Xenopus tropicalis: one gene and its partners. The protein of the gene in region 1 interacts with the protein of each later gene in a pairwise test. Links are inferred from orthologs where the notes say so. Each region holds a gene or a part of one and is shown in the gene's direction. Other genes may lie near its edges. The genes, in order: osgin1, bcar3, lnx1, tle5 and capn3.

Region 1 (4,307 bases):
TGGTGCATCCCTAGTGGTAATAAACTGTTGGTGTACAGAAACAATTCCTTTACTGTTTCTAAATAGGGAGATCCTTGCCTTCCTTTTCTCCTTGCCTCACAACATGGAACTGTTTCTGAGCAGAAGCCTATTGTTACTGAGCAGCTCTCTAAATGCCTGAAATAGAATTTGTGCCAAAGACAGGTCTGAAGTTATTCATTGCTCCCAATAACATTAAACTAATGTTTACATAAAACACTGCTGTTAAGTAAATAAATAAATAATATATTATAAATACACAATTTCCCTTCTCTGCACAGTAACATACACTATATGTAAATGTTTTTCCATAGATTAACAGTGCATGGACTGAATATGCGGAGCAGGGAGTTCTTAAGAAATCTACGAAGATAACAGACTTATGCTCCTCTATGGGATAGGGCACAAAGAAATTTAGTAAATGTAATGCATATTCGATTTCACTGGAGAAATCCTGGTAGGTACCTTTGGCTTAGCTACACAAGATAGAGAAAGACAGAATAGTGTCAAGAGCAGGGGGGTGGTCTGTAGTGGTGGGTCTGTGGTGGTGGTGGGTCTGTGGTGGTGGGGGCCCTTGAGGTCACGTTCTCCAGTGGGCCCAGAATACTTAGTTTGACATTGGTCACCTGATACTGGATAAGGAGATGAGATGACACGCTCTCACCTGAATTAAGGAGGAATTGAATGGGGTAACAGTGGACCTTAGCAATGTAATTTAACTAACTCCTACAAACTCACTTTAGGGTAAAGCAGGGGTCAAGCAAGTGAAGAAAGAAGCAAAGTCCTACTTCAGCTAAATAAAGAGGGGTAGGAGTTTGACCCCCAGGGTTTAGTATAGATCTTGGCACTTGGCACTTCAGAAATTGAATTTGCTTCTGAACTGAACTTTTACACCATTCAAAAGTAGATCATCTTTACTGGCTGCCAGATGCTTTTGTTGTACCATGCTGCAAATTTTACAGTTTGCCTTCTGCCAAGGCAAACAGATTTTTCCACATTGCAGTTTTGTGTATCATTTTTTGTTTAAAATGAAAAGTTCAAGTCAACTAAATTAGACTGAATCTTAATAGAACTAATGGTCAGACATTTGGTAGGGGGAAGACAAAATGCTAGAGTGAATGAGGTCTTGCACTTTCATCCCTGATGATATGATTATTTCCCTTTCCAAGTTTTAATTCTTCTCACAGGATGTTCTCTCCTCTACCATCTGTCACTTTCTGTCTGTATCTACTTGTCTGCTAGCCACCAGTACAAACTATCCATAGTGGTTCACCCCTTGGTCAGCCTGCCAACCTGCCTTCCTCCCCTCCTCTGGCTCTCTGGCTATGCTTTACAGCAGTGGCAGTCTTGTAATGGTGGTTATGTCACTGCAGCTTGATTCATTCATAAGCTGTCCTGCTGACTCATGCTTATGCTTTAAAATTCATTTCTTTCCCAGGGCAGCTCCTCCCTCTCACACTATCAGTCCCCAGCTCTATTTAACCAGCCAGTCTGATCACTGCACATGCATAGAAGGTTGAAGTTTTTTTTTAGCAGCAGACATCTGCCTGAATATCAGTTGCCCACTGGATACTTCTTCTGCACTGGTAAGAAAGCAGCATGAGGACTGAATATAGCATAGTACTTACACAGTTCTAATTGCCTAGTGATAAGCCAGTACTGTAACTGTGCTCAGAGGAGCAAAAAACAATATATACAAACAAAATTCACATTTAGGGCGGCAGCCTAGGAGTCAACTAGTGGATTTAAAGTAAAACTGGTGAAATAGAAACTGTTTTCAAAAGTGAAACCTTTATATTCTTTTATGTAAACTTGATTCCCACAGTAATATCCAGGGAATACAGGAAGCAGGTAGGGTGCCTTTGTAAAGCTAACAGTTCATTTAATAAAAGGATTAGAACAATAAATTACTGTTCTTTGTTTGTTCTACTGTAAATGGAGCACTGATTGCTCACTGTACTGTACATTTTGTACCACACAGAGTAGAATGGACATCTACTGTTCTATTTGGTTTGTCCTCTCAGGGTATGCAGCAACTGTAGTGTATAGTATTCACTACAGGAAACAGGTAGGATAATCACTTTACAATATACTACAAGTGGCAGGGAGAATGTTCATCCTCACTGAGCTATAGAGCATATACTAAATAGAACAGATAGCATTGCTCATCATGCTGTATAGCAATGATTCCATAATTGTGTGGCTGCCCCCTATGGCGCCCTGGTGCAGGGACTAGGGGTCTAGTTTGAAGGTCTGGTAAAGAAAGTTGGGGGGAGAATGGAATCCCCACTCTGTTAACTTCTGTGTATTTTGGTGTGAACACTTATTTAATATTTTATATAATCTTGGACCTGTTGCTAAAACACTGATATATGTATGTTTTCTATAGTTGTCACTTTGAGCTAATAGGACCATAATGAAATGTTGGACTTCAGAGGGGTGCATGACCATAAAAAAGTATATAAACCATTGCAGTAGATGTGGGTACGTTATAATTTATACCTCACATGTCCTATTATGGGCCAGATTCAATTTGATGAGAAAAGCTTATATCCTGATACAATTGCAGATCTTCCCAAAGAGCCAGATGAAATTCAAGTAGAAAAATGTATCTCACTCTTCATCACATAAAAATTCTGTTGAAATCTATAGAAAAAAATTAAACTGAAGCAGGAGAAATGCTTTCTCTGCTCAAATGTAATCTTGCCTGTAAATTTTCACATGATAAATCATAACATTTTCTCACAGAATGAATTGTGGCCCTACATTGGAATTATATCAGGAAGGCTAAAGTTTATGAGAATAGAAAATCCTAACCAGCAGGCCATATTTTAACAGAAAGAGCGGGCACAAACTGTAGTGCGTACAAAGATAGAAGCAACTACTAAAAGCATGAGGCAAAATGCATGGGTCAGGTGCATAGTAAACAAAATACATGGGGCTTTGTGTCCATTTTTTGCCTACAGAACCTTTGTAAGTAAGAAAATCTATGTTACATATATACAAAAGTAACTGCTGTATTTCCGAGTAAAATACATGCCCCATAACAGTGCATGCATGTTGTTATGAGTTATGTAAGAAAGTTCATGACACTGATATAATGCACAGAAAAAAATGAAAAAATATGTCAAGGAGTAAACCAGGGTAACTGGATTCTTTTCACTTGCAAAAGTTTATAGAAGAGATGAGAATGACTTGTGGGAATGTGAATGTATTCAACCACATCACTGTTCGATGAAATTCTGTGCATTCAATGTATATACCCAAATACTTCTTTATTAGTAATTAGAAATATTTGGTGTGGGTTTAACACAGCTTGATCGCATTCTTCACACCCGGCCCTGCTGTCTTGCTGGTTGTTATACAGTAACAGACAAGCCTTTCCTCTTGTTTTTACTCGGTGTCACACACAACCCAACATTCGTGGCCAGTCAGTAGTACTTTAGTATGATTTGGTAGTCACCAGGAATGCATTAGAATCTGATATCTTCCACACAATACTGCCCTAGATTTTCAGTGATTGAGCATTAAGGAGTGCAGTCATGTGCGCATCTGTCCAGGGACTTTGCAAATGATGGCAAGTGTGTGCTCGGGCCATGTTTTTTTAATAAATCTGTAAACTAAGGGGATCCATACCCAGACTGTGATGGAGAAGCCAACCTGACAGGGAACTAACTCTGACAAGAAGAAGTGTAGGAGTAAAATTGACATAAAGTAGTAGAAGAGCTCTGTCCATTCACTGGTTATTGTAACCTGGTATGTATGTGTGCCTTTGATTAGTGAATCATATGAGCCAAGGGAAAGCCCTTAGTACTTAAAATGGCACTTAAAACGGTACTTGAAAAAATGTGCAATGCCACATATTTCTATAAAAGTAAATTTTTTTTATTAAAAAGGTTTATTTAGACAAGGTAGTTACATAGTAACGTAGTAAGTTGGGTTGAAAAAAGATATACGTCCATCACTTTCAACCATAATGCCTATATATAACCTGCCTAACTACTAGTTGATCCAGAGGAAGGCAAAAAACCCCATCTGAAGCCTCTCTAATTTGCCGCAGAGGGGAAAAAATTCCTTCCTGACTCCAAGATGGCAATCGGACCAGTCCCTGGATCAACTTGTACTAAGAGCTATCTCCCATAACCCTGTATTCCCTCACTTGCTAAGAATCCATCCAGCCCCTTCTTAAAGCTATATAATGTATCAGCCAGCACAACTGATTCGGGGAGGGAATTCCACAACCTCACAAGCTCTCACAGTAAAAAATCCTCTTCTCCAGTGTAAACAGA
Region 2 (4,200 bases), about 56 Mb from region 1:
TCATGTTTTTAGTCATTTAAGCAATTCAATCAAAATGCAATTAAAGCCAGGTTTACTAGGCATGTAAGTGTACCTATCTCCATCTAATAGAATAATTTTAGATTAAAAGAAACTCTTACATTATATACTCACCTCACTCAGTGCTGGGCCAAGCCAGGGTGTGGAATGGAGTGATGAGCAGGTGGTGGGGAGCTGGCGACATGGATACTGTGCAGAGTTGCTGTTTGACAGTGAAGAGTGGTCAATAAAAAGCATGGAATTCAGACCCGCAACAAATCGCTCTTTTCGCGGGTGACTAATCTCCCCGAATTGGCATTCCACCGGCGAAAATTGAAATCGCGGGTGGGATGGCATACGCCGTGCCGCAATTTCAACTAATTCGCGGAAGTTTGTCGCGGGCGACTAATCTCCCTGTGTGCCAGAGCCCTTAAGGTCAGCGGCTTATCTGCCAGTGCATGGGGCCCTCAGATGTTGATCGGGCAGGTTTAAAAACCCATTGGGAGAAGAAATGCATTGGCACATTAAAGTGGGCCTCATGCCGACAGCCTGTAACCTATCGATGTCAGCCGATGGATCAGCCGAAGGACTAAATAAGTGAAAAGGCTAGATGAGAATAGAGATAGCACTCACCCTACCAGTAAAGATGAATATGATAAGAAGGCAATGTTTTTTACAGACTGACATAGTAAAAAAAATTCTTATTCATTAACCCAAGAACATCAAAACTTTTATTGCAAAGTTAGTACACTATACCTGGTCACCATTACCCAGCTGATGGCAGAAACCTCTATGGCATTTAAGTGAAGTGCAAATAGTACAGTAGTTCCCTTTTCTGAATGAATGAGTGCTACACCTCTCAGTGCTATTTGGAAATGAGCCTGCTGGTTAAACACTGCCTATTTGCAAGCTGTTAGCAGGCCGCTGCAGCAGTGCCCAGGGCTTTGAGTTTCAGCTCCTTACCGTCCACTAACACGGTTTTTCTAATTAAAAGTAAACAGTGCAAGATTTCCCCCCCTTTATCTCAGCGCAACAGAAGCAGATTGCCATTTAGAGGAATCAATTATCAGCCTGCTTCCACATTCTCCAAATAAACTGCTCACACTGGAGAGTGTGGGATTTGTGAGTCAAGGTTAATAGTAGGTAGGGCTTTGGCATTTACCTCTAGTGAGGCTAGAGGCTGTAGGAAATATTGCTGGTGACAGAGAGCATGGTGCATGAGGTATGTGAGGAGCAGAGAGATGTCTAATATTTTGTATACAGAAATAAATCCCTTAGGGAGACCAGCTAGTAAGGGCTTCTCAGATGGTTAGAATTTCATTGGAGAGCTGAAGGGGTCACATGAGACTTGCAGCACTCTATACATGGAGGCTGTGTGACTGCATGCCAGAATTCACTGAGTTCACAGTCACAGCCCCATCCGAGCAAACAGCCCCAGCCAAATGTCACAGTGCAAGGCAGATTGTAGGATCACAGGGACAATGTAGGATCACAGCGCAAATTGGAACTTTGCAGTGAATGAAGGCATTATCGTGGGAACAGCCAAAGGTTTTGTGCTGTAATCCTTTAAGTGCTTAATAACCTCCCCTCGAAAGCTTTGAAAATGTCTAAGGATTGTTTCTGTAATTTCTTTGAGACTTTAACATCAGCCCTGTGCTGTTTCTACCATCGGAAATCCGTCATTGTGGTGAAGGTGAGTGTTCTGTTACGTGAATGTATGCTTAGACTCAGTGCAGGGTGGCCTGCCTTCTCTTTGTAACATGTATGTGTGGCATTAGTGTCTCATTTGCTCAAACTGTAGACATTGACCCTCCAGCTGTTGCTGGACTACTGATCTTGTATCTTCCAACAGGCATTAGATGTTTAAGTCTGTCATACACAAGTATTTAATCCTGGGTCTCTAATCATATTTAGAAAAAGAACATGCAACTCTAGAACTTAGAGATGCCAGTAGAGATGCTTGGAGCCGTAGTTTCCCAACCACGGTTGCCTATACTTAGTGTCTGATCTGTTCATTGGTGCATTTGATGAATGTATACACCTTATTGTGTATTGTTGTAATTAAAAATTTGCTGCAAACAGCCCTTTCCTAAGGATTCTGGGTTTGCTTTCAGTTTGAGGCTGGGTTATTTAAAAATGGTTATTTAATATAAAGAAGTCTTTGGAACACGTGAGCAGCCATAATATCCCTTGGAGGTCCACGCCTAGCCCTTGCGCCTCCATTTTGACAGCCTTGCTCTGGAATATAATATATACATTGAGGAACTTTGTGTTCACAGAAGTTGTCACTGTATAGTCCATTTTTTGCTTTTGTATTGTTCCCATAAGTTTAGTGCCTTTTTGTTTATAATTGTTGAAATGCCTTAATATGAAATACATACACAAGTAAGACTTTTCAACAAAGTTTGATTTTACTGCAGGGAATTTATAAGGTTTCAGTGCATATTTTTATCATTTTTGTCTTTTTCCAAGAATCATTCAGAGCAAGTGTCTGTAAAATACAAGTCATTCATCCAAATACTTCTTAGAATACTTTTCTCCTCACCATGTGCAGAGGAAGCCATCAGTGGATCTCTGCTTGTTGTGAACTCTAACTTCCAATACTCTAACCTGCTGTTGCTCAAAAACAGCTCAATTACATCAGGGTAAAGGCAACGCTAATTTACTGCTTCATACAGCCAGGAGATACTATACATTGTGTTCAGATATATTGATGGTGGGCCCTGTGCTTATTAAGGTGTGCAACACAGATCCCTATATCTAAGGGAAAGAATGTAACTTCACCAGTGATGCAGGTCTAGCATTCCTAAGTTAGCCAAATGACCTTAATTAACCCTCAACCCTCATTTACCTTAATGGTAAAACCATTACAATACTAGTACAGGTATGGGATCTGTTATCTGGAAACCTGTTATCCAGAAAGTTCCAAATTACGGAATGGTCTTGTCCCATAGACTCAATTATAAGCAAATAATTCTAATTTTTGAAAATGGTTCCCTTTTTTCCTGTACTTAAAAAAAAAAAAACAGTTTGGATTAAAGGTGGCCATACACGAGGCGATTTCGCTCGTTGTGCGATGAACGATTATATCGACAAACGATCGTATGGCGATCGAGTTCCCATACGATATGCCATCCACGGGCAACGATAATTCGGGAAAGATTTTGTCGCATCATTATCGTAAAATACCTACGATCGTACATCTACGTACGATCGATGTCGTTGACTTCCGCTGCTGGCAATCGTGACATGCGCAGAGAACAATCGTTGAAAGACAAATGTCTGACACTCACACCAACTGGCAGATTTTATCGTTAAACGACCAAAATTTTTAAACCTGGTCGATCGATTTTGGGGACGATAATGTCGGCTCGTTTAGTGGGCCGACGATCGTTCGTACACCACCAACTATACGATAACTTAACGATAGCATCGGATCGTTCGGGAATCGGTCGTTTGTAAGTAAAAAATCGGTCCGTGTATGGCCACCTTAAGTACAAGGTACTAAGATATAATCAGTCCTTATTGGAGGCAAAACAAACGTATTGGGCTTATTCAATATCTGAACGATTTTTTAGCAAACTTAAGGTATGGAGATCCAAAATTTTTAAAGATCCTTTATTCGGGAAAACCCCAGGTCCCAAGCATTTTTGATAATAGGTCCTATACCTCTACTAGTGCTTTAAAGCACTTTTTTAGGCCGAAAAGTGCCAGCACTGGTGCTGTTTCCCACTCATATTTATGGTAGGTACCTCTTTGCTGGATGCCAGTGTCACCTTCACGTCTTATTGTACAATGCTTTGCTACATGTTTGTATTGGTCTTGTTCTTATTTGCACATATTGATAATATCAGTATGCATTTTAAATTAAATCTTCCATTTCATTTCTTTAATTATATTAACATATACACATTTACATATAAATCATGAAAAAAAAAATGTTTTTACACAATGTCCACAGCTGGACCCCATGCTCAAGGCATAGTCTAAGCATGCGTGTGTACATGGCCATACATGCACCGTTTCATATGACTTTTGGTACATGTGTAAAGAGTTCCTAATTATATACGGCACCCAGAATGTCATCACTGTATCCTAGTGCCATCTCCAGTTATATTAGTCTGTCTGAGATTGCTAATTGTTGGGCAGGTAATGAATAAAATAGTGCAATTAAAATGATATTATATAGCATCTCTTACAATA
Region 3 (3,518 bases), on another chromosome or scaffold:
CTGATCAATAGTTAAATGTAGTCATAACAAAGGTCTGGTTGCCACAGGTTGCTGCGCTGGTATAAAGTTCCACATACAATATCTTGAATCCTCCCTATCCAGCCTCAATGACCATTTTATTATAGACTTTCTGCCCTCCAGCTGCAGTTACAATACAACTTCCATCATCCCCTACTATCAGAGGTGGGGTCTGTTGACGTATAACAACTGATGGAGGACAGATGTTTGGAATTCCCTTTGCTTTGCTTTTTACAATCACAAAGATGCTCCTAATGACAAGTGAAACTGTACTGAATGCAGGAATGCAAGTTTGGGCAATTTCCAGCTAATACCATTATAACCTAACAGAAACCTGCATGTTAAGGCAAGTCTAAAACTTCTGCCAAAACATCTATAGATCAGAAACTTGGCTTTAAGGGAACGGTATCTTCCCCCGAGGGGTCGGTGGCATGTTAATTAGACTTAATTATTCCATGAACTTAATTCTTTTTTCACGTTGCTAACTATAGAATTAAACCATAGAATGTGCCTGTGCAATATCATTGCCCATGCTCTGTTACATGTATGACCCACAAGAGCAGTTGTGGTTGTGCTGTTGTTGCATGAATATACAACATTCCATAAAGGTGCGTACATCTAAAGTGTCTAAAGCGGCCTCTTGAACTCTCACATAGTTGCACTAAATGCTGTTGGTTATACCTCCTATTGTAAGTTACACACAGTGTGCCTATTGATGCAGGGGAACCAGTGGTGTAAATACTCTGCACTGGACCCCCTGCAAAAAAAAATTCAGAGGGGCTTGGTAGCAAACTCTACATGCCCCTCCCCCCCACAGGAGTTCCCCCGCCCACTTGCAAATTTGGAGACGTCCTCCTGAAATCGCACACTGCACTTGCAGTCATAAATGAGCCCCTATAATTCCTGGCAATGTATTAACTGATTTAATCTGGCTATTTTTATGTAACATTTCATGTTTTCTTAAGCACACCTCATAATGATACTTAACTGCTGTCATTAATGGGTGAATGATCTTATTTTATTACACTTCAATAATATGGTTTTATAATTTACAAATTCGCCAAAAAATATGTTTTCAAGTGGTTGTTATTGCTTGCATCTGTAAAAGTACATATATGTCATGGGCTTTCCCTAAACAGATTGGTGTTACAAAAGGATGGAAGTCTCTATGAAGGAATAGTAGCTAGTATAAAACTAGTACCCATGGGTGTGGCGGCAAGTCGTATATTTAACAGGAAATGATCCTCCCTAAACAAGCAGATATAAAATAATATTGCTTATCAAAAAGGAGGTCAAATATTTTTCAGGTTAGAGCAAATAAATACATTCATAGGAAATGTTCTGCCCATAATAGATTTTTTTGATTGGTCCCTATTTGTACAATAATCACTTATCCAAACCAGTGTATATTGTATACTTTGTGTTTATAATGAATTGCACTTTCTATCTCAAGACTTCTTTGTTCCTCTCAAAGGCGCTTTCAGAACACTTTACAGGAGTCACCCTTGTTTTGTGAAATAAGAGACATGAGATGTCTCCGTAAATGACTTTAGCTCTTGTATCGAGGGCAGGTTGAGACTGGCATGAAGATGGATCTATTCTTGTCTATCTGATGGAATGGATATTTACTTTAGTGCAAGGAATGTTACAGAATAATAAATATCCAGGGGCATTCATTTAAGCAGCCAGCATGAGGTAACACCCACATTCTCGATAAATGTAGTGCACCTTCATTATTTAATACTGTCATAAACACCAATTTGTACCTACAAACTTGTCTTAATATGAAATTGTGATTTGTGATTCCAGTAAATGGTACAACCCTGTTTCCAAAAAAGTAAAAATGTAAATGAAAAATGTAAATGAAAAGATACTGCAATACTTTGCAAATTATGTAAACCCTATATTTAATTGCAGATAGTACAAAGGTAACATATTAAATATTAAAACTTGTTATTGTTTTCTTTCTTATGATTGTTTTGGATGGGTGACAGGTCTGGGCTGCAGGCAGATAGGCAGTTTATCACCCAGAATCTCTTACTTGTTGTAAAGCCATGCAGAATGCAGTTCGGCACTGTCTTGCTGAAGTAAGTATGGCCTTCCCTGAAAAAGACGCTGTCTAGATGGCAGCATACAGTATGTTGCTCCAAAACCTCCAGCTTTAATGGTGCCTTCCCAGATGTGCAAGCCACCCATGCCACCACAGATGCTGCCTATTGATAACAAGCCATATGAGCTACCTTCTACTCTTAAGTATCTTTTTAATACTGTAAATGTTTAAATCCCCTACTTTTTATGCAACAATTTACCTTACATGTCTAAATGCGTATTATATAGTTTGTATTGATTTCAGAAGCAAGAGCATTAATAATCATCCCTTACTCCACAAACACCCCTGTCAAAATGTATGGCCAGTTATTCTTGTCCAGCCCTCTCAGGGAGTGATTTATTGTACTATTCCACAGATATGGGTAATATTTCTCTCTTTCTATCCCATTAAACAGGTATGTAATATATGGAATATTTGTAACCTGGTATTTTTCATTATAAAGGGGTCTTTCACGAATGTGGGACACGATGCATTATGGCTACTAAAACATTTCAACTGTAAAAGGGATTATTTTGCATCAACATAGATATATCATAATTTAATAAAAATCATGTACAAGGGCCTTTTTTATTATTAAGATATACAAAACTTATTTAGGCTATAGGCACTAATGTGTTTTGTTGTCTGTATTAACGCCATACAGGTTTGTGTGATCAAGATTGGGACTGAAATCTCCTTGCTCTGCACCCTACATTATGGAGTCAAATGATGCAATTGAAGAACTGGACAATGAAAAACCCCAATCACTGTGTACTGTATGTGGTCAACTGCATTCAGAAGAGGAGAACCATTCTTATACATACACTGAGGAAGTGGATGATGATTTGCTGTGCAATATCTGCTTGCATGCCCTCATACAACCGCTAGACACTCCATGTGGCCATACCTACTGTACTCTCTGCCTCACTAGCTTTCTAGTCCATGAAGACTTTTGCCCTGTGGATCGTAAGCATATTTTGTTGCAGACTTGCAAGAAATCCACCATACTTGTAAAAAATCTTTTAGATAAACTTCCAGTCATCTGCCCATTTAAGGAACACTGTACAGATATTGTTCAACGGTGTGACCTTGAGGAACACTTCCAGAACAGGTATGTTCCTTCTCTATGTCTATGTTATGGTAAATCTGTTTTCCAAGTCACTTATAACATTGTGTTTGTTCTAGTTCTATGACTATGCAACTGATTGTTGTTGCTGTTGAATTAATCTCCATTATTCTGAATTGGTGAGCATCTATGCATTTACAATAGTGCTGCCTTTGGTACAGGTTATAATTTTGTCCAGGTGTCTAGATTAGAAACCTCTAGTGCAAGAATCCCCAACCTTTTTTTACTTGTGAGCCACACTCAGATATAAAACGTGTTGGTGAGCCACACAAGCATGAAACAAGT
Region 4 (4,299 bases), on another chromosome or scaffold:
TACAGACCAATGATTAATTAGCAGAGTGACTGTGGTGTGAAAAAACAACAAGGCAAAGTCAGCACAATAGCATAAACTGATACTATTATAAACACTGGATATTGTAGGATATAGCTAGCATTTATTAAACCAGATTAAAAAAAAACAGATACAATCTCAACTTTTTGTGTGCAACCATTAAATTGAGTGCTTCAGGAAGCTAGAGTTTGGTTGATTCTCATCTCTCAAAAAACCTGAGCCTTTTCCTCTTGACTAAATGATGGTCCAATATAGAACTATATTGTAATAATGCCTAAATAAGTCTGAGGTGCAGAGAGGAATTTAGTACTGTATTGTTTGCTGTCCTATTACTTTAAACTTTTCTTGATTAAGTTGAGATTTTTACTGTGGCCCAAAATCACATTTACAGTGAGACAGTTGTTTTAGTTAAATAATTTGGTTCATTTAAGGCTGATGGCCCAAAGAGCAAGTTAGTTGTCCGCTGTAGATCTCTGCTACTGCGGGCAACTAATCACTCTGAAATGCCTTTCCAGTGGCAACAATCGGAGTCGATGGAAAGGCCTATGCATTGCTTCGGCTTTCCAAAGTTGCCTGCAGGAGGAAACTTTGTGCGAATTGGGAAAGCCAAAGCGATGCGTAGGCCTTTCCACCAGCGACTCCTATAGTTGCCAGTGGAAAGGCATTTTGGAGCACTTAGTCGTCCGCGGTAGCGAGATCTATCGCGGGCGACTAACTTGCTCCATGGGACATTAGCCTTAGATGTCATTCTGCAAGGCTCCATGTTTTTGTCAGCATTTTGCATTGTTACACCAGTGTGCCATTGGGAAACCGTGTTCATCTAAACATAAACTGATCAGATGCAAATGCTCAGTGCATTGGTGTGAAGGTTGAACAACATGGTGCTGTAGGCCCTTAGTAAACGAGGCCATCAGTGTCTTATCTTTTGCACCCCATAATTACCAAGAACTGAACATCATGTGTGAGTGTCTGGAAGCAAAATCTGTGCAGCCAGGAGTTTGTAGCAGGCCAGAAATGTTGAGGGCCCAGTGGGGCCATAATTACTAAACAATTTCTCCAGAAATTTTGGGTGCCCCTTTAATGAATATGTTGAGGGCTTAGTAACATCTACTTTCACCACTGGTAAAAATTGAATTACTTCAGTTCAGATGATTGTTGTAAAAGCCTTAGATATATACAGAGACAAAAAATATTCTTAAGGGAGATTAAAATAAGGCAGCCTCTAAAAATTAGCGAAATGATGCTCCCACTGAGGTCTGTATAGCAGGGTTCATTGAATGTAACTGATAAGCTTTCATTTTTTCAGGAATTTTAAAATCAGCTAAAAGGACAAGGGATCCTTACATGGGAAATTGAATCATTGAAACTGTGACCTGTAGAGGGAGCCATATATCTGCTTAAGCACAGACGCCATTAAACAAAAGGCTCCTGAGTGGGTAGAGAGCTAGGAGATCGTGTAGTGAAGCAGGGCAGGCCGTAGCCTCAGGGGTGGGGGAGCATTACCGGGTTAGAGATCAAGAAGGGACGAGGCCAAGGGGACAGTAGAGGTCCTGGTTGACAGCACACAGAGCGGCCAGAAGATCATCTGGGGTTTGCGGATCACATATCTGGGCCCAAAGCAGTAGTGCCGGCTGAGAAGCAGAGCGAAGCCTTCCCAAAGTGCACTGAGCCCTTGGATAAAGCGCACAGGAAGCCGGGCCTTGGATACTGAGCCTGTGCGTAGCGCCGTACATACCGGGGCCGGGTGGGATATGATGTTTCCTCAAAGCAGCAGCCGGCACTCGGTGAGAAGGCGAGGGGTAGAACTGAATGTACTACTGTATTATTGTGTGTTATATTTGTATAGAACATGTTCATCTGCTGGAGACGCTAAAAGCAATATGGGGGTAGGATTTTTTTGTTGCAGGAAGTCCTGCCGTTGCAGGAGCCGAAAGGGCTTAGTGTTGTAGTAGAGTTTCAGAATTCTGTTGAATCCATCTTTGCCGTCTAGAGCACTGGTAGCATTGTTATATTTTCGAGGTGATATCCAGTATTACACACTGCTGTGCAATGTGCTGCCTCTTTATAAATACATGTTAAGGACAAGAAATTACTGGAAGGGGCAATGGTAGGCATCCCCTCCCCAATAATTATAATTACTAGCCTCAATCCCCCCCATTGGAGTTGCCTTTGTGCTTAAAATTGCACTGCCCTGGGGCACTATTGTAGGGAGTGCTGCCAGCTTGCTTTCTGTCCATGCAATTCTTACTTCTGCCCTGGGTAATGAGCACATGCTATAGAGCAAAATCAGGACTGAAGCTGCAAGCCAAATATTTTGCTGTATTGCACATGACCCAGAGCAGCAGCAAGGAAGCAAGATGGTGGTGCACCCTAAAATAGTATCCTGGCCACTGTGTTTTTTTTAGTGAAGAGCAGTATTAGCCTGGGGTCCAAGGTAATCACCAGAGGTGCCTGACAAATGTGGCCCTCACCATATTGGCAGTGCATAATTGAGATATTCATGTATCATGTACTGTACCACAGAAAAGTGAGCCTCCAATTGTCAAAATAATGACCAAGCAGTGTTCTAGTTGCTGCCTTCTCCCTTGGAAATGGGATACATATACTTAACAGAAATAGCTAATTATTAGTAATAACTATGCTTGCTGCAGCCATGTATTATGTGCTTAAAGCCTTCCATACACTGAAAGATCCACTCATTTGGTGAAGTCGGCAAACAAGTGAATTATCTTGTGATTTGGCCACCAAGGTTTGTTTGGCTTTATGGCCGCTGATCAGATCATTATAGGGGCCTATACTTGGTTGATTAGGAACTGAGCGTATAAACAACCAAGTGGCCCTTATTTTATGATATTTTCAAACCTGCCCAGCAGATATCTAACTGATATGGCAGCTAATGTTTCCAAAGGTATTTTTAGCTTAACATAATAATACATATTGCATAAGCCATTTAGGTGTAAAGGGGTGAGGTGGCAAACAAAGACAAAAGTTGTTGTAGAACTCTTCTTTTACCCTATTCTACCTCCTGACTCATGGGAACACAATCAAAACAAATTACTAGTCCACTGAGAAGCCCTTTGTATAAATAAACCCCTCCCTGCCCCTTGATGCAACCTGTTAGACTCTGAAATGAGTAGCTCATTATACAGAGGTTTCTCAATGGACTGGTGATCATTAAAGGGGTATACTATGCCTTTAATTTAACCACTAATTAGCCAAGTGTCCTGTGGATTCCATTAAGGCTGCAAATGTTTTCACATGGAATTTCTATTATGATTTTTTTTTCCTTAGGGCTCTTCGCATTTGCCCCAGCAACTCAAATTCACAACCTCAGATTCATGTGATAGAATTAAGGATGAATTTCAACTGCTGCAGGCACAGTATCACAGGTAGGAAATTGCTTCATTTTGACACTGAGGGCCACGCCAATGCACCTTTTGTCTGATGAGGTTTTCAAGCCTGCCGATTGTTATCTAGAATTTACACATGCCAATAAGCTGCCGACTAGGTCGGGAGGAACCAAGTCATCAGCTTTAATCAGCCCCTGTACGGCCACCTTAAGGCTAATGGTGCAGTTAGTCGCCCACTATAGATCTTTGCTACCACAGGCAACTAGCTGTTCCGAAATGCCTTTCCACCTGCAACAATAGGAGTTAGGAGTCGCCAGTGGAAAGTTATACGCATCGCTTTGGCTTGCCAGTGGAAAGGCATTTTGGCACAGTAGTCAGCCATGGTAGCAGAAATCTATTGCAGGTGACTGACTGGCTCCATGCGACATTAGCCAAACACTACATTTTATGTTTTTTATGGCATAGTATTGTTAGGACACATACATGATGACCTGTAGCTAACTTGTTTGACATAAATTTAATATAACCTGGCCCTTAAACATGATATACTGATATTTGGGTCCCTACACTAAAATGCCAGTGTTTAAGAACCCTTATTCTTTTAGTATAAGCAGCTAAGTCTGTACAAGTATGGAACCTGTTACCCAGAATGCTTGGGACTTGAAGCTTTCTGGATAAGGGATCTTTCTGTAACTTGGATCTCCATAGCTTAAGTTCACTAAAGCAAAATTTAAACATTAAATAAACCCAACAGTGTTGTTTTGCCTCCAATAAAGATTAATTATGTCTTTGTTAGGATCAAGTACAAGGTACTGTTTTATTATTACAGAGAAAATGGAAATGGGGCCTATGAGAGATGACCTTACCGTTGTTCGGAGTTTTCTGGATAACAGATTTCCAGATAGCTGAATACCTGTACTGTCCAACTGCA
Region 5 (3,518 bases), on another chromosome or scaffold:
GAGTGCACTCCAGGGTCTTTTCCATAAAAACGATCTTTATTGTAATATTGTTGCCATCTTATCAACGTTTCGGCTCTGGCCTAGAGCCTTTTTCAAGATAAAGGCTCTAGGCCAGAGCCGAAACGTTGATAAGATGGCAACAATATTACAATAAAGATCGTTTTTATGGAAAAGACCCTGGAGTGCACTCGCAGTAATCTTTTTGGAAATATATATATAAATATTCTGTACAGATATGACATAAAGATATAAAAAAAAAGGAAATAGCTGCAAATAACGGAAGATCAAAGTTTCAACTGATGACAACCTGTGCACATTTTATAAGAAAATTGTATGGGTTATTCATGGCATTCTTATATTAATACAGAAAAATACAGTTTGAGACCCTCAGGTGTTTTCTTTCACCTTTGTATCGTCTTTGAGGTCATTTTTCATTAACATCCTTCTTTACCTGCATGACTTATAAAACATTTGGGGGCTGTCATGCTCGTTCCACATTATTATATACTTGGAGAGACATATCACCCTTCCACAAGTGTTCTCGCTGTTATGTCACGGTATATCATTTTGAAATTACAATTTTGATTATTTTCTCCTTGTATACATTTTCCTAGGATGTCTTATGATGATTTTATGAAGAATTTCACCAAGGCTGAAATCTGCAATCTGACACCAGATGCACTGGATTCGGACTCACTCCAAGTATGGACAGTGTCTGTAAATGAAGGGAGATGGGTCAGGGGTTGCTCAGCAGGAGGCTGTCGCAATTATCCAGGTACTAAACTAGCTGAAGAAGAAGAATAAGGCATCAGCTTCCTGTCATGGTTATGTTGCCTATACTGTAGGTGTTAACGTTGCATCCTGGATACATTTAACGGTGTTGGTCTAAATAATACTATCAATAACCTCCCAAGGCTAATGATGCAAAATATTTTACACACTTAAATATCTTGCTATATACTATAAGTGCATCAACTTGTATGGATCTGTAGCCATATCACACCTTGCTTGCTGGGGGGTTCCAAAGGTGGAGTTTTGTAAAAATGGAGCAAAATCGTCATAAAAAGAAGCAATGTCACCATAACATTTTGATTTTAAAAAATGCGAAGGTGGGCATTGTAAAAATCTGATTGGAGTTAAGATGTTTGTAAATTTGGATAGCTGATGAATGTGTTATTCCAGTTTCAGGCTAAATCCAAATTTCCAGCTAGTTTTAGGGTAGAGAGAGATACTCGGGCTTATTTATGACCGCAAGTAAGTTGTTGTCCCCGCTATTTCCCCACAGTCAGTTACACTTAAAACGACTTTCATTAAAGTTACTTGCGTCAAGATGCACTCCCTGCACCTCCATATACATAAACTTGGCACAGCTCAGCCATTTTGCCTTCCTTGAATTGCACACCGAACACTGGAAACGAGGTTTTGTACGATATCATCGGTGTGTGTATGGCCAGCTTAAGAGGCATCTATTTATATTTGAAGCATTATAGAATAACTTCACAAACACTGCGGCTCATTTATCAACATTCTCATTCATGGTTTTAGAGGTTTCTGAAACCCCATTTTTATGAATGTCAGTCATTTATCAAAAGATCCAAACTTTTAAAAACCCTCAAACTTCCTAATTTTCTAAGCCTTTATCTAGCATGTTACCAATGGACCGGCACATACAACCTAGATTCCAGTACTCAGTGGTAATTGTAGGACTGTAACTGATGTATGAAGTAGGGAAGTTAGGGGTCACATTTAAGCTTATGTCTTGGAGAATGGAATTTTTAGTATTCATTGTTGTGAGTCTATGGACAGATCATGTCAGCACATTTCCTTATTTATTAGATTTAGGAATTGGGACAGAGGTGTTACAGTAGAGGTGGTCTTCCTTTTGCCAATGCTTGTGATACAGCACCATATAAATAGCTGCTCATGAGGATGTGGCACCGTTACCAAGAAAATGTATATAATGACATGAATGTATCCATACCATTGCAGACACCTACTGGACCAACCCTCAGTATCGTCTTAAGCTGCTGGAGGAGGATGATGACCCTGCTGACAATGAGGTTGTCTGTAGTTTTGTTGTTGCTTTAATGCAGAAGAATCGAAGGAAAGATCGAAAGGCAGGAGCCAATCTTTTCACCATTGGTTTTGCAATATATGAGGTAACTGAATTGTAGCTGAGCTCTAACGTTCTCTATATGATGTCAAACAGTACCTTATAATAGCAAGTTATTCGGCACAAGGTGTAGAGTTCAGCCAGATCCATGGCAGAAGTGCTCTGAATGAGCAATAAGGGGCGTGCTCTTGCACTTCTACCCAAGGTCTTAGTAAATTGCCCACAGGGCTGCCATTGGGGGGAGATGGGGTACTATTGTGCCTGGCCCTGAGAAATCTTCTTCCTTAAGGCACCCAGTCACTTCACAAAAGTTGCGCAAGTTACGCATAAAGTTATGCCAAAACACAATTATGCAATTTACGTGACTTCTGCAAAAACTACAAAACCTGCCTAGTAACTTGCGAATCAAGCAAAAGCCAATGCAGAAGCTTTGCAGGGACAAACTCCACTGACCCCCAATGAATTAAAAAACTTAAGGAAAATTCCACTGCCCCCAATAAACTGACTGACTTATTAGCACATTGATTATCACTTTAACTATTTATATGGATTGCTTATTATAACGTAAAATCAGCTGTTTATATTGGGATCTATTAACTGAATTATATGAGTTAATGAACTTTGCAGCAGGGGAATAACTGGTTATTGGGCCCCACAGCAACATCATTGGCCCCTAAACTTACGCAGTTTAAATAACTTATGCAAAAACATATGTAACTTCAATATCAAGCAATGACAGCACAGAACAGGGGTAGGTAGGTGGGAAGGGGTTAAACTTGGGGCAAACTCAACTGACCCCCTATGAACTGACTGAATTATGAGCAAATTAATCAATTGAACTTTTTATATGCACTGCTTATTATAGAGTAACATAAGTTGTTTATATATTTACACAAGGGGCATTGCCATAATTTTGGTACTGCGTGCTTGTGTTAATGGGGGGACCCATATGAATAACTTGTGTTGGGCCCCAAAGTTTCTGATGGTGGCCCTGATTGCCCGTACAGACTATTGACTTTATCTAGCTCTATTTTTGTATTGTTCTTCCTGACTTTATTCTTACAAATTATATTTAACAATTATTTTATTTTTCATTTTAAGGTTCCAAAAGAGGTATGATGTGTAAGGATGGGTAATGAAGAACTGCTTGCTGATTTGTTTGTGGCTTTGTGATCCTGTTGGAACATCTTCAGTTGGGTTTGTTTGCTGTGTTACTTCTAACTTTCTGGGCATGAGTGACTAAAGGGTTCCTTTTGGGGCAGGAGTAGGCCCTGAGGGTAGGGCAAGCAGGTGGGAACCTTGGACAACGTGTTGACATTAACGTACATAGAAGTACTTAATGTACTGCTTTCCCACCCAATAATAATTCCCCAAAGTGAAATACAGTAATTATATTCAAAATGGC

What was found.
Region 2: the proteins of osgin1 (region 1) and bcar3 interact in binary tests that used the Homo sapiens proteins (3 or more experiments, as listed by UniProt). The link is inferred for Xenopus tropicalis from reciprocal best matches to the Homo sapiens genes OSGIN1 and BCAR3.
Region 3: the proteins of osgin1 (region 1) and lnx1 interact in binary tests that used the Homo sapiens proteins (3 or more experiments, as listed by UniProt). The two-hybrid records come from large-scale screens. The link is inferred for Xenopus tropicalis from reciprocal best matches to the Homo sapiens genes OSGIN1 and LNX1.
Region 4: the proteins of osgin1 (region 1) and tle5 interact in binary tests that used the Homo sapiens proteins (3 or more experiments, as listed by UniProt). The two-hybrid records come from large-scale screens. The link is inferred for Xenopus tropicalis from reciprocal best matches to the Homo sapiens genes OSGIN1 and TLE5.
Region 5: the proteins of osgin1 (region 1) and capn3 interact in binary tests that used the Homo sapiens proteins (3 or more experiments, as listed by UniProt). The two-hybrid records come from large-scale screens. The link is inferred for Xenopus tropicalis from reciprocal best matches to the Homo sapiens genes OSGIN1 and CAPN3.

What each region holds. Positions count from the first base shown.
Region 1 is NC_030680.2:47,894,414-47,898,720, forward strand, and holds the start of osgin1 (oxidative stress-induced growth inhibitor 1), read left to right. Parts: upstream 1-1,496; 5' UTR 1,497-1,604; intron 1,605-4,307. UniProt on the Homo sapiens protein: Monooxygenase catalytic activity. Involved in regulation of cytokinesis; promotes RHOA activity, probably acting locally at the midbody in late cytokinesis.
Region 2 is NC_030680.2:103,985,223-103,989,422, forward strand, and holds the start of bcar3 (breast cancer anti-estrogen resistance protein 3), read left to right. Parts: upstream 1-1,397; 5' UTR 1,398-1,600; coding exon 1,601-1,690; intron 1,691-4,200. UniProt on the Homo sapiens protein: Acts as an adapter protein downstream of several growth factor receptors to promote cell proliferation, migration, and redistribution of actin fibers.
Region 3 is NC_030677.2:39,804,319-39,807,836, reverse strand, and holds part of lnx1 (E3 ubiquitin-protein ligase LNX), read left to right. Parts: intron 1-2,083; exon of another isoform or gene 2,084-2,105; intron 2,106-2,771; 5' UTR 2,772-2,823; coding exon 2,824-3,218; intron 3,219-3,518.
Region 4 is NC_030677.2:114,622,611-114,626,909, reverse strand, and holds the start of tle5 (amino-terminal enhancer of split), read left to right. Parts: upstream 1-1,499; 5' UTR 1,500-1,769; coding exon 1,770-1,802; intron 1,803-3,309; coding exon 3,310-3,407; intron 3,408-4,299. UniProt on the Homo sapiens protein: Transcriptional corepressor. Acts as a dominant repressor towards other family members. Inhibits NF-kappa-B-regulated gene expression. May be required for the initiation and maintenance of the differentiated state.
Region 5 is NC_030684.2:109,270,525-109,274,042, forward strand, and holds part of capn3 (calpain-3), read left to right. Parts: intron 1-614; coding exon 615-775; intron 776-1,989; coding exon 1,990-2,159; intron 2,160-3,214; coding exon 3,215-3,226; intron 3,227-3,518. UniProt on the Homo sapiens protein: Calcium-regulated non-lysosomal thiol-protease. Proteolytically cleaves CTBP1 at 'His-409'. Mediates, with UTP25, the proteasome-independent degradation of p53/TP53.